Mus musculus: one gene and its partners. The protein of the gene in region 1 purifies or fractionates together with the protein of each later gene. This does not show direct contact. Links are inferred from orthologs where the notes say so. Each region holds a gene or a part of one and is shown on either strand. Other genes may lie near its edges. The genes, in order: Wwox, Vopp1 and Dvl2.

Region 1 (4,252 bases):
GTCAAATTTTACTCAGCAAAAGTGAGTGCATCTTGTTGTTGCAAATTTCTACTAGAGAAGAAAGTAAACAATCGATTAAAAACAAACAAACAAACAAACAAACAAACAAAAAACAGGTTCAAAGGTTCCTTGCTGGGAACCAAGGCTTTGAACTGCAGGCTGATAGCGCCACCTGGCGTGCAGCTTCGGAAGCACAAGCTTGGATAGTTAAAAAATCCTCATTTCATAACTACTGTGGCGCAGATGTTTTTACAGAAACAAGATGGTCATAAAATCTCCTTAGGGTATGACTTTGTGGGTGTTGGCTTTGTCTCACACGTATTCAAGCTCCTGAAAAATCTTCTTTGCCTGGGTTTACATGCAGATAGATCCTTGTTAGATCAAAGTCAAAGCTAAACTTCCAGGAGCCAGAAATGATAAACAAATAGGGGAAGGGACTAAGTGCTGTTGTGAAGGTAGGCTTCACATTGTGGGTCTAGGATATTTATAACCAGGATTTTTTTTTCAGGTGCTTTAAAAGTCTGCTTTGCAAGTTTGTAATCAGGTGCCGCCTATGAACAAGAGAACCAAGTTATGGTTGGAAGACCATTCTCTCTTAATAGAGAATCTGGAGGCATGAGAATTTGCATGTTCTCGATTTTTGGCTCCCTTTATAGCATAGGCTGGCCTCGAACTTGTGAACTTGTGATCGTTTTGACTTACCCTCCCAAATTCTGGAGTCACTTAGTTCTCCAAGTGTAGGTTTTTTTTTTTTAAATGGCATATTTACATAAACAACACAGATTGTGAATGGAAAAATACCTGGATAGTATCAAGTCAGGACATTTACTCTCGCAGGTGTGTCCAACCTGAGGCTCGTGGCAACACGTGGCCCGGGATACTAATAAATGCTGCCCAACACAAAAATCCTAAACTTTAAGCATTGTGAGATTTTTCTTTTCTTTTTCCTATTTGGATATTCGATTGAGGGCTTCTCTAGTGTAAATTTTGGAAATGACCATGTCACAGTATCATGTCGTAGTGTCAAAAGGTTGTACACCTGCAGGGCATGGGACGAAACTGGAGCTCAGAATAATCTCATCAGAACCTTTCCCCCCTCCCCGCCCCCCCTTTATAGTCCAGTTGAGCTTGGACTACATTTCCCAGGATACTTCACTGCTGGGACTCATTCAGGATTGGGTAAAACAATAAGGAAGTGCCTTCGGGTCGCCCAGCAACGTGCAGAGTCCTGCATGATGACTGGGTAAGCACGCCCCTTCCAGGAGGCTGAGGAAGCTTATTCCAGTTTCTGAGCCGTTCCTGCTTTTCCTTCCACCCCCCACGGCCGTTCCATCTCTTCCGCGTTCCCTCCCGTGCTCTTCTCAGGCTCCGCCCCCTTTCCCGCCAGTAGCTGCAAAACCCGGAAACTGGATTACAGCCGCGGACCGGCTGGGCGAGCAGTGCGCAGGCGCGAGCGGTCTGGTCCCCTCCCGGACGCGCGCGGCGCGGTTGAAGCCAGAGTGAGTTGCTGAGGAGAGCAGGCGGCTACTTCTGTCTCCAGCATGGCAGCTCTGCGCTATGCGGGCCTGGACGACACGGACAGTGAGGATGAGCTGCCTCCGGGCTGGGAGGAGAGAACCACCAAGGACGGCTGGGTGTACTACGCCAAGTAAGCGGCCTTGGAGCGGCGTTCCTGGGAGCCGTGTCCTGCGAGGCCTGGACCCTGCGCTGCCCTGCCAGGCGGGCATGCGCATCCGAAATGCCAGCCACCTGTCCCAGGCTGTCCCCCGTTATTAGGGGATCTGGGTCAAGGTCCCGTCACCTGGCCACCCGCCGCACGCCCCCTGCCGCTCACTAGGTGGCACTGCACCGTGCGGTGGTGGCGCCTAGGTCTTACTCCTCTAAAGAGGAAATAGAGAAAACTTCAAAGCCAAGCTCCTGCCATGGGGACCTGATCTGGAGGCCCAGCAATCTGTATTTTTAAGCAGATGTCCTGGATGGCTCGCAGTGGTTTCCCAGGGAAGTCTTGGAAACCTCCACAGAGCCTTTCCCTGTTGCTAACCGTGACCTTGGGCCACTGAAAGCAAGCCCCTGACTTTTCTGTTCTCCTCATCTCTGAAATGAGCAGACACAAGAATGAATCTGTGCTGTGCACAAGGCACTCAGTGGAGAGGCTAGTAGGTTGCCCCGCAGGCGTTTTCTGTTACTTGGACTGTATCTGTGGCAAAATTGCATAGGCGTGATAGGGGATAGTAGCTCCCATAGGGGGAGCTACTGCAGCTGACTCTATGCTTGGGGACCTCTGTTCATTTTTAAGAAATAGATACTTAATGGACAAAATGCTAGGTTTTCATACAGTCTTGATCAGGCTCTGCCAGTCAAAGAATGAAAAAGCGGGAAATTCGCAATGTAGCAGGTAGCAGTGGAGAAGTCTCCAACACCTCCGACAGCAGCAGGCACAGTCAGCAGGCTGAAAGGCACTCTGTAGGGGAGGACTCGTGTTCACAGGGCAGACACACATGGAGAAAACAACTGCAAAGCCAAAGGGAACTCTGGAGCCGAAAAAATTGCAGCCTCTTCTTGAGGGCTTTGGTTTTAAGTCATTGAGGAGTTTTCATTCCCTAATTTAAGAGTTGGTCAGTTTGAAGAAAAGATAAGGGTTGGTCAACCCACATCTGTTGGGTAACGTGTCCTGATGTGGTCTCGAACTTGCTGAGCCAGTCATCAGCAACAGCTGACTAGCAGGAGAAAAAGCCCACAAGGACTTTGTTTTAAGATGCCAGGCTTTCGACTCACATAAAGAGTGTGAGGAAGAAGCTGGCTGTCTTGGAAGTTCACCACCTGTGTCACCTAGCCATGGTTCCTCTCCCTGTCTGCCTTCCAAGATGTCTATCTGCCTCCAACCCCCGAGTTTCATGGTCTCCTTTTTCTTATGAATATTGTGTACTTTTCCTGATTTTTTTCTTCATATCAAATACTTCCTCTTCTATTTTCTTATATATCTGTGAAATATTTTTAAAACAGGGTCTCATATAGTCGAGGGTGGCCTTAACTTGGTTAGGTGGCCGAGGTTGAGCTCCCATTTCTCCTGGGCAAAGTGTGCATGAACAACACACCTGACTTTATGTCTTTAAAAGCTAGGAGACTCAATCTTTTTCAAGCTTTCTATGAGAGTATCTTATCACCTGGCTTTCAGAAAACAAACTATTGTATTAACACCTGTAAGTGTATTTTTAGTTTTTAATAATTAACTTAAAAAATTATATACAGACCAGACTGGCTTCAAACTCACAGAGACCTTCCAGCCTCTGGGGTTAATGGCACATGCTACAGTTTTGTCTAGCAGTGCTTCCTGTAGCCCAGGCTTGCCTAGACTTTCTTTTGTAAACAGGATGACATAGTTCTTGATGCCTCCACCTCCCAGATATGTAATTACAGGGTTTGTACTACCCTACCTGGTTCCAGAAAGACTTAAAAGATAACGTTCTTGCCCTGTTATCAAATTAGGAACTAATGTGCCCTGGCGTCTCCCCACTGATGGGCTGTAAAGTATGAGATTTGCAGGTACTCAAAGCTACTCACTGCTGCCCCTGGTGGCCAGATAGAAAGAAACAGAAAAGCTTTGGTGAGTTCATTCATTCAAGAGTCCTTAAGGGCCAGGCCGGTGGGTGGGCATTGGTGATGTCCAGCTAAGTGTGGTGCAGCTGCCATTCTTAAGGATCTCTGCAATACCAGCAAGTGATTTCTAATGATATAGTTCCAGTGCACTGTGTCCAGCGTGAGGTGGGTGGGTGGGTGAGGGAGGCCGCCTAGGAGAGGTGTCACTTGCCCTGTGTCTCAGAGTGCTGTAGAAGGTGGCCTCAGGTGGTAGGAAGTCAGGCAGGTTGGAGGGGGCAGTGGGAGGAGAGACCCCAGGCAGCCCTCTCTCTGTGGTATAGAGTTGTAAAGCCTGAGACTGGTGAGAAAGGAATCAGTTTGCAGAGGCCCTTCTGTGCTTCACCAAGGACTTGGATTTTGTTGTCGGACTCTAGAGCCAGCCGATGATCTGAAGCCAGGGAGTGATAGTGAGTTTGTGTCTTCAGAAGGACTGAGTGGCTCTGGAGACATGAGTGGATTGTGTGAGCAGGAGGTGCTGGGGTATAGGCATGCCAATGGTCCTGCATTGGGTGCTCCTACGTGGACCTCAGTGTGTGGAGTCTCAGCCCTAGAAAACGTCCTAGACTGTGCTGCTCCAACCACCTGAACTTAGCACTGTTTCTCAGTCCTTGGCGTC
Region 2 (3,645 bases), on another chromosome or scaffold:
CCCCTGGAGAATCCTCAGGCATTTTTGTCGCAGTTCTCTAGCCTGACTTTAGCCTATGTCTTGAACTCTGACACATGTCTGTGTTCTTTGCAGGTTCCTGCTGATGATGGGTGTGCTGTTCTGCTGTGGTGCCGGTTTCTTCATTCGCCGGCGCATGTATCCGCCACCACTCATTGAGGAGCCCACATTCAATGTGTCCTATACCAGGCAGCCACCAAATCCTGCTCCAGGTCAGTTAGTCTCATCGTTGTCTGTCCTCCTTGTAATCTGAGTGACCTCTTCAGACATCACTTATGCCCCAGAGTGTGCTAGAAGAGATAAATCAGGCTACTTGATCATTTAAGTTCTGATGTGCAACTTGATTGTTTGTTCCTGCTGGTCGCAATGCAATATATTGTGAGTGTATCATCTGGTGTTCTTATTTTGTTACTGATGTACTTTCTGGGGCCCTGCCCTAGCTGTTCTTTCTTCTTGGTTTTCTCTTGAGGTAGCAGACAGGGAAAGAATATCAAGGTGGGCAAAACTTGGTCTTTAGAGATTTTTAGGGTTGCTGTTTAATAATAAAACGTGTACTATCTAAAAGTCTAGATCACTTTACTGCTATCGCTGTCCTGCCTGAATTCCTCTGAAGCCAGAAACTGCAGTATTGGCCTCAGAGGTTTAGTACTTCATCATCAAATAGCATCGAGGGATTAAGTAAAGGATTAATTCCTAGGGCCTTTGACCTCTTGTCTGGAAGCTTCTCACTTGTCAGGCTTGGGGGAGGTTTGGAATAATAAACTTCTATTGAACCAAGAGAAGACAGTCACACTCACTGAAAGAAAAACTTTTGCACAACCAAATATGAATAAACTCACATAATTTCTTACACACATTCATGTCTTTCCATTAAAACCAACTGAGTTCACCTTATATACTTACCTCATAATTAGATACTTAACGGACACACACGTCCATACTTAACATATGTTTATGGAGCAAAAGACCAAGCGCCAGTGCAGAAAGAACTCACTCATTCTGGACGAAAAATGAGTTCCAATCTTTATTTCATAGAGAAAGGAAACACTTCTACACTTTCATTGCTAAATGAATTAAGCCTGAGTCTATAAGAAAATGTTCTCTTTAGTAAAACTAAGCCTGCCTTGCTATTAAGAAAAGACCTGTTCTTTCCCATGGTAAGGAAAAGCCTGCCTGATCCTTTTGCTCTGTCTGCAGCTTCTCTTTTTCCTCTTTCCCTCTGCATTCTACATACTGCTCTCCTAATTTTTTAATCTGCCTTATAATTTCTGAGTTATTCCTCTTTCTTCCTCTTTCCCTCAGTGTTTTATACACTGATCTCTTAATTTTTTAAGTTGCCTTATAACTTCTAAGTTATTCTACTCTGCATTCTCCTTCTAATCTTGCTCCTCTTGCTCTGATGTGACAATGATAATGTCCTTACTCTCAGTGCCTTTACTTCCAATGCTGTGCTTGCCAAGAGATCACAGGGTTTTTCCAAACATCCCTCTCTTTTACAAACGTTCACTATAAATTCAAATCATATATTTAGTAAGACATATACAAGAGAGAATGTTTACATGCATATTCAGTAACAGTAATTAATTGTAGAGCAGCAGTAAACACCTTCATAGAAGTTACCAATGGCCTGTAGAACATATTACCCGAAGCAATGTTTCAATATCAAAGAGAATTAGCTATTTCTTTGTTCTTAAAAGACAATTTTTCCTTAACTGTATAAATCTCCCCCATATTATACTAGTTGGTGCTGCCTCCCCTCAAGACACAGGCTGGTATAGGGGTTTTGACAGTGTCTCTGAGGTCCCCTTGCTTGGAAGGAGCCATCTGTACATAGAGAGTTGCACGGTGCCAGAAGGCAGAGTAGACAGGCACTGCTCATCCTGGTTCTGAACTAAAGATTCTATGTTTCATAAATTTGAGGGCCAATATGTTGATTGCATTCACACCACTGTGCTCCCAGGCACACTGCTGGATTTCCAGCCACACTGCTGTGCTCCCAGATATGCTTCTCTGCTCCCAGTCACGTTGCTGTGCTCCCAAGAACGCTGCTCTGCTCCCAGTCATGCTGCTGTGTTCCCAGGCACACTGCTGTGCTCCCAGTCATGCTGCTGTGCTCCCAGGCACACTGCTGTGCTCCCAGTCATGCTGCTGTGCTCCCAGGCACACTGCTCTGCTACTAGGAACACTGCTGTGCTCCCAGGCACACCACAGGTAGATGACTGGACCGTTCTTTCCTTTTGCAACATTTCTATTATACAGAACAAGTAAGTCCAATAGATCTACTCAACATCTTATGGACTATAATGAACAAAACTATAGTTAAAAATATGCTTGGAAAAAGTTCACTTAGAGATTAGGACTAATGTATTCTTATTATATATACAAATACTAATAGTAAGTTAGACGACAGAGGTCTGTAGGATACATTGTAATATGGGCCATGGTGATTTCATAGGTGTTACCTTCAGACCCATCAGGTTTCATGCAATAAATAAGCACAGTATTTAATTTGTCCATCATGTTTAAATCAGAATCAAAGAGTGGGAAGGTTGAATGTAACAGGTATTGTAGCCTGTCTTGCTTTCTTGGTGACATGCTCAAGATGCAAAGAGAATTGTTCTTCTATCTGACACTTGGCAGAGTTTTCCCTTCCAAAAGATCTTTCTTTAATATTTTTAGGATTATCACCAAGAAAGATGTGAATGTATATTTTCCATATGAGTTTACTGGGAGCCACACCTTCAATTTTCACTGCAGTTTGGCATCATTTTGTATTCATACATTCATCTTATTATTTTAACTCTGCTCCTTTGGAACTTAAAACACAAATTTCCATTTAAAACATTAAGTGACTTCATGTTAAAACCATTCGTGAGTGGCTTTCATCTGGATCCATCACTCTTGGATAGAGAAAGGGCGTGCAGGACACATGTCCTTCCTGTCTAGAACTGGCCCAGTGACAGGACTGATGCTCCTGTAGTCATCCAAACTAGAGCCAATGTGGTGAGCAGGTGATAAACTGAGAGCCACACTTTGGTCTGTGCAGCTCACCTTGAGTGCCCTGTGGTATCCGAGTATTGCCAGAGGAGAATGCATCATGGCCACTCACATGTCTTGTTTTTGAAAGCAATAAACCCTGTCTCTGGAACTTTGGTCTCACTTTGGCTACACCCAGTAAATCAAAATATCTTACCAAATTTTATTTCAGACCTGTATTTTTCCTGAGAAACACTTGTTGCCTTTTTTCCTACAGTTCATAGTCTCACTGTGGCCATCTCTGTCTTCTAAGAAGAAAAGGAACATGTAGTGGAGCTAAAAACTACAACTCAGCACTCTGAATCCAGCTTTGAGGACAGAAACCTGATTATCTAGATACTGCTCACTGTTGATTTAGCATTCACTTTCCAACACTTAATTTTGTAGCTGAAGAGCTCAACTCTTTCACACTCCGTATGCATACTGAGTTCCTAAGCACCCCCATGCACATTTCATGACTTACACCCAAGTGACATAGCCCAAAGCATTCACACAAATGACCTTATCAGCCATCTACATCTAAGTTTCATCCCTGCAGATTTAACCAACTACAAGTCAGAAGTATATGAAGAAATGTTATATCCATTCTGT
Region 3 (4,171 bases), on another chromosome or scaffold:
TTACTGCAGAAAGCCCTTTGCGGGGCGGCCCATGATTGAGTGCAGCCTCTGTGGGACGTGGATCCACCTCTCCTGTGCTAAGATTAAGAAGACCAACGTTCCCGACTTCTTTTATTGCCAGAAATGCAAGGAACTTCGGCCAGAGGCCCGGCGGTTAGGGGGTCTCCCCAAATCTGGAGAACCCTGACATCACTAAGGCTGGAACTTGTGACATTACTTGGGAACTGAGCCTCAGGGTCCCCAGCCTTCCCTTGGAGTGAGGAGGCTGTCCCCACTTGAGGGCCACAATTCCCAAGGGAGACGTATTTGGAAATGAGTGTCTTCTACTCTGTCCTTCCTGCTCCATGGACTTGAAGTTGACCCCATTACAGTTGGGTCGGGGAGGCTGGATCTGTAGACAGAATCTCTGTCCAGTCAACCCTGTACCCTTTTCACTTGCAGGTCCAGGGCTCAAACTGGGATGTAATGGGATAGTTGTCTATAAAACTGTAGTGTAAATACAGCACTCCCCTCATGTTTCTTCTCTCTCCCGTTTACTTTCTTTTACACCGGATGTATTTTTAATTTGGGGCTCCCCCATTTGAGCGAGGTTGCTCAGAGGTGGAGTACCAAAGCCTGTGGAGTGAGGAAGGAAAGAAAAAGGTGTCAATTAGCACTCGCCTCGTTTTTAATACTGTTGGCCGGCTGCTCAGACAGACGGCCTGCGTGTTGTAAATAAAGCAGAGTGGGCTCTTGTGTTTTACAGCCCTCCTTGTCCTATTTGGGGAGGGGATCTTTGGGAAACCTGGTGGAAGTCTTGGGTGGAGTTGGGGCTGAAGGCCACTTGTAAGTCCAGGGCTGTAATTCCACAATTTGGGAGGTGGAGATGGGAAGTTTAGGGGCCAAATCTGGCTTGGGCACTGTCTAATGCCCCTCAGACATCTCTGAAGACTATTTCGGCTTTCTCATCCCAAGTACAGTCTAGTAGGAGTACTGCCCTAAGGGTCCCAGGTTACAATTCTCACTCATCAGCCCATATCCCCGCCCCTCTTATAGTTGCTATTGAGGTGCCTTGAACCTCAGATGGGTAAGGCAAAGTGGGGGCCAGTTGCCAGCATTCCAAGAGTAGAAGCTTGCTAAGGTACTTGGGAGGGGGGGGGGCGGGTTGTACACGTTTGGGGGCGGAGTCGTCTAGGGCTGAAGACCGTTGCTCAAGGCAGTGGTCACGTGAGTGTCTAGGTGGAGCTTGTAGTAACGTGACTCAAGGAAGTCACGTGAAGCACAGTCGGCTGCGCAAAGTGGGCGGGCTTGGGTCACGTGGCATGGGGAGAGGTGGGCGGGGACCTCGGTGCTGCTCGCGACGTCCGTGGAGCTAGTGGCCCTCGACTGTGCGGTCTAGGTTTTGAGTCTCGCCACACAGCTCTTCCCGATCAGCCCGCTGGTCCCCGCCATCCTCCTTGGGCACGTCTTCCGCACTGGCCCTGCGCTGTTGGCGCTAGCGCGTCAGTTTGCGGGTGTGCGCAGGCGCGGCGGGGGCGCTTAGTCCTGTTGGGTGGGCGGCTGAGCCCGGGAGCGCGCGAGCGAGACCATGGCGGGCAGCAGCGCGGGGGGCGGTGGTGTAGGCGAGACGAAGGTGATTTACCATCTGGATGAAGAAGAGACTCCTTACCTGGTGAAGATCCCTGTCCCGGCGGAGCGCATCACGCTCGGCGATTTCAAGAGCGTTTTGCAGCGGCCCGCGGGCGCCAAGTACTTTTTCAAGTCCATGGATCAGGATTTTGGGTAAGCGCGAGGCCTAGACTGGGAAGGACGGTGGGTATGCTAGAGTGGATTGGGCGATATTGAGGGAGACCGGTCTACCTTGGACTGTTTCTGGCCTGTAGTGGAGCATAGCATATTGTACTGTGCTAAGGTAGAAAGCCCATCCCAAGACGGACAAGGTTATATTTGGACACATAGAAGAAAGGGCTGGATGGCGAGAAAATTAGGTTGGAGGAATGGGGAACACTGGTTTGTTTGGCCATTCTCTCTCCATGATTTTAGCCAAAAGGCAAAGAAGTGATGCTTGAGGTTATGCTAGGCTGTGCGGAGATTAGAGCCATCTATCTTTTGGTGAGCTGGGATGCTCGCTCTCAGACGTCTGCACGCGAGTTAGATAGAGATAGTCTGTAATTTTGTTTGCCTGTTTTGATTTGTTCTTTTGTTTGGAGGTAGGGCTTTATTCCTTGTATCCTAGGCTGGCTTCGAACCCATGGAGTTCCTGCCTTAGCCCCCAGAGCTGAAATAAACAGGTGTGAGCCAATATGCTGGGCATGCAGTGTTTTTATGTAGACCGGGCTATAGTGAGACAATTAGGCTATTCTGGCTTATTAATCAGGTTCCATAGTATTATTTTGGGATGGTAGAGTCTGTAATATTGCAGCGAGATCTATTGGGATATATTAGGCTGTTTTGAAGTAGACTTTCCTGGCAAAGCATGTACCATTCTGAACTTTTCTGAGTTCTTATTTCCTCTTAGGGCCAGAACCTCCTCTCCCCGCTACCCCGATACCCCCTGGGGGCTGAAGAGAGTTGGAGGATTTTTTTGCTTTTTTTTTTTTTTTAAAGATATTTTATGTGTTGGGCAGTGGTGGTGCACATCTTTAATCTGAGCACTTGGGAGACAGAGGCAGGCAGTTTTCTGAGTTCAAGGCTAGCCTGGTCTACAGAGCCAGTGCCAGGACAGCTAGGGCTGCACAGAGAAACCTTGTCATAAAACAAACAAAAGCTACTTTATGTGTTTGGGTGTTCTGCATGCATAGTGTGTACCACAAGCATGCAGTGCCCAATGAATCCAGTAGATGGCATGGGATCTCCTAGAACTGGAGTTAGCATCTGCCAGCCACTATGTGTGTGCTGGGACTTGAACTCCAGTCTTCTCCAGAGCCAGTCAGTCTGCTGCTGAGCCAAGAACTTCCTTCTGTTACTGAAGCTACCTAGAACACAATATAGAACAGGCTTGCCTTGAACTTGTAGCAGCCCTGCCTCTACACCTGCATCCATAGTGCTGGAACTAGATAACGTGTGGCAGTCAGGATGCCTGGCCCAGACCTGGGCTTTTTACAAGTTACAAGACAGGGACAAGTGGGAACAAATGGGGTAGTGGTACTGCTACATCATAGCAGAATGGGGTACTGTAATCAGTATGGTGCAAAGGGCTGCTTGTGTGGGGACGCTGGGGGCTATGGAGTTCTGGGGTGATTTGTGACATGCTGGGTGACCCTGTGCTGGACTGAGACTATAATTTAAGGCAGTTTCTTGTTGTTGTAGAGATTGGGACTGAGCCTTCTGTGTCCCCAAGCTCAGACTGTGTTAGGCTATGATGTCCTGAGTTGACAAGCAGGGATAGCAGGGTCCTGGGGACAGGAAGGTGACCTACCACCTGGGTTGGGGAGAGACTTCTTACCTGTGAAAGTCCCTGTGGTGGGAGCACATCCCCCTCGGCTCCCTGAACAGGCTGGACCCTTGTTAACAGTTGTTCGATGTGGAGAAGGTGATGCTGCCTAGGGAGTTGGTCTTGGGTTTATATCAAGGTTGTTCTTTTTGCATTATAATTTTGGGCAATTTATTTAGCTTTTGTGCTTTGATTTCTTCATCTGTGGCATGGTGATAATCATAGTGTAAAATGCTTAATTTCGGTGCATGGCACATGGTACATTCTTGGTGACTGGTAATTTTCATTTAGTATGGAAGCTAACTAGTTCATAGACTACATTACACGATACAGAACTGCTTGCTTTGGAGGAGACTGGGCCATGTCCGGTGGGGTTCTGTTGGGAAGAGTTGGTTAATGTTGAGTAGCTCGTGTGCCGTCTTGATAGCAAATGTATTCGTGAGGCCTATCCCCAAGCCCCCAGAGTACGTTAGGCTAGAACTAATCACACAGACAAATCTGTGCACACAGTGTGCCTGCTTGGTGCCTGGAAAGCTTGGCTGAGACAAGTCAGATCCCTTGGGACTCGAACTATGGATAGTTGTGAGCCACTAGGTGGATTCTGGGAACTAAACCTGGGTCTTCTGCGAGAACGAGTGTTCTGAACCACTGAGCCAATTCTTTAGCCCCCATCCCCACCCCGAAGAAGCTCTGATTTGAGGGTGAGGGTGTTATGTGTGGGAAAGAATGGCTCATGGCTCATAGTTTGTCTACATGGAT

The links.
Region 2: the proteins of Wwox (region 1) and Vopp1 purify together in Homo sapiens (affinity purification with mass spectrometry; 3 studies listed by BioGRID and IntAct, with this or other methods). This does not show direct contact. The link is inferred for Mus musculus from reciprocal best matches to the Homo sapiens genes WWOX and VOPP1.
Region 3: the proteins of Wwox (region 1) and Dvl2 purify together in Homo sapiens (affinity purification with mass spectrometry; 4 studies listed by BioGRID and IntAct, counting the BioPlex papers as one, with this or other methods). This does not show direct contact. The link is inferred for Mus musculus from reciprocal best matches to the Homo sapiens genes WWOX and DVL2.

The regions. Positions count from the first base shown.
Region 1 is NC_000074.6:114,438,231-114,442,482, forward strand, and holds the start of Wwox (WW domain-containing oxidoreductase), read left to right. Parts: upstream 1-1,421; 5' UTR 1,422-1,541; coding exon 1,542-1,648; intron 1,649-4,252. UniProt on the Homo sapiens protein: Putative oxidoreductase. Acts as a tumor suppressor and plays a role in apoptosis. Required for normal bone development. May function synergistically with p53/TP53 to control genotoxic stress-induced cell death.
Region 2 is NC_000072.6:57,759,020-57,762,664, reverse strand, and holds part of Vopp1 (vesicular, overexpressed in cancer, prosurvival protein 1 precursor), read left to right. Parts: intron 1-93; coding exon 94-230; intron 231-3,645. UniProt on the Homo sapiens protein: Increases the transcriptional activity of NFKB1 by facilitating its nuclear translocation, DNA-binding and associated apoptotic response, when overexpressed. May sequester WWOX in lysosomal vesicles and thereby regulate WWOX role as tumor suppressor.
Region 3 is NC_000077.6:69,999,266-70,003,436, forward strand, and holds the start of Dvl2 (segment polarity protein dishevelled homolog DVL-2), read left to right. Parts: upstream 1-1,326; 5' UTR 1,327-1,567; coding exon 1,568-1,761; intron 1,762-4,171. Other genes in the region: Phf23 (PHD finger protein 23), read left to right, coding at 1-187.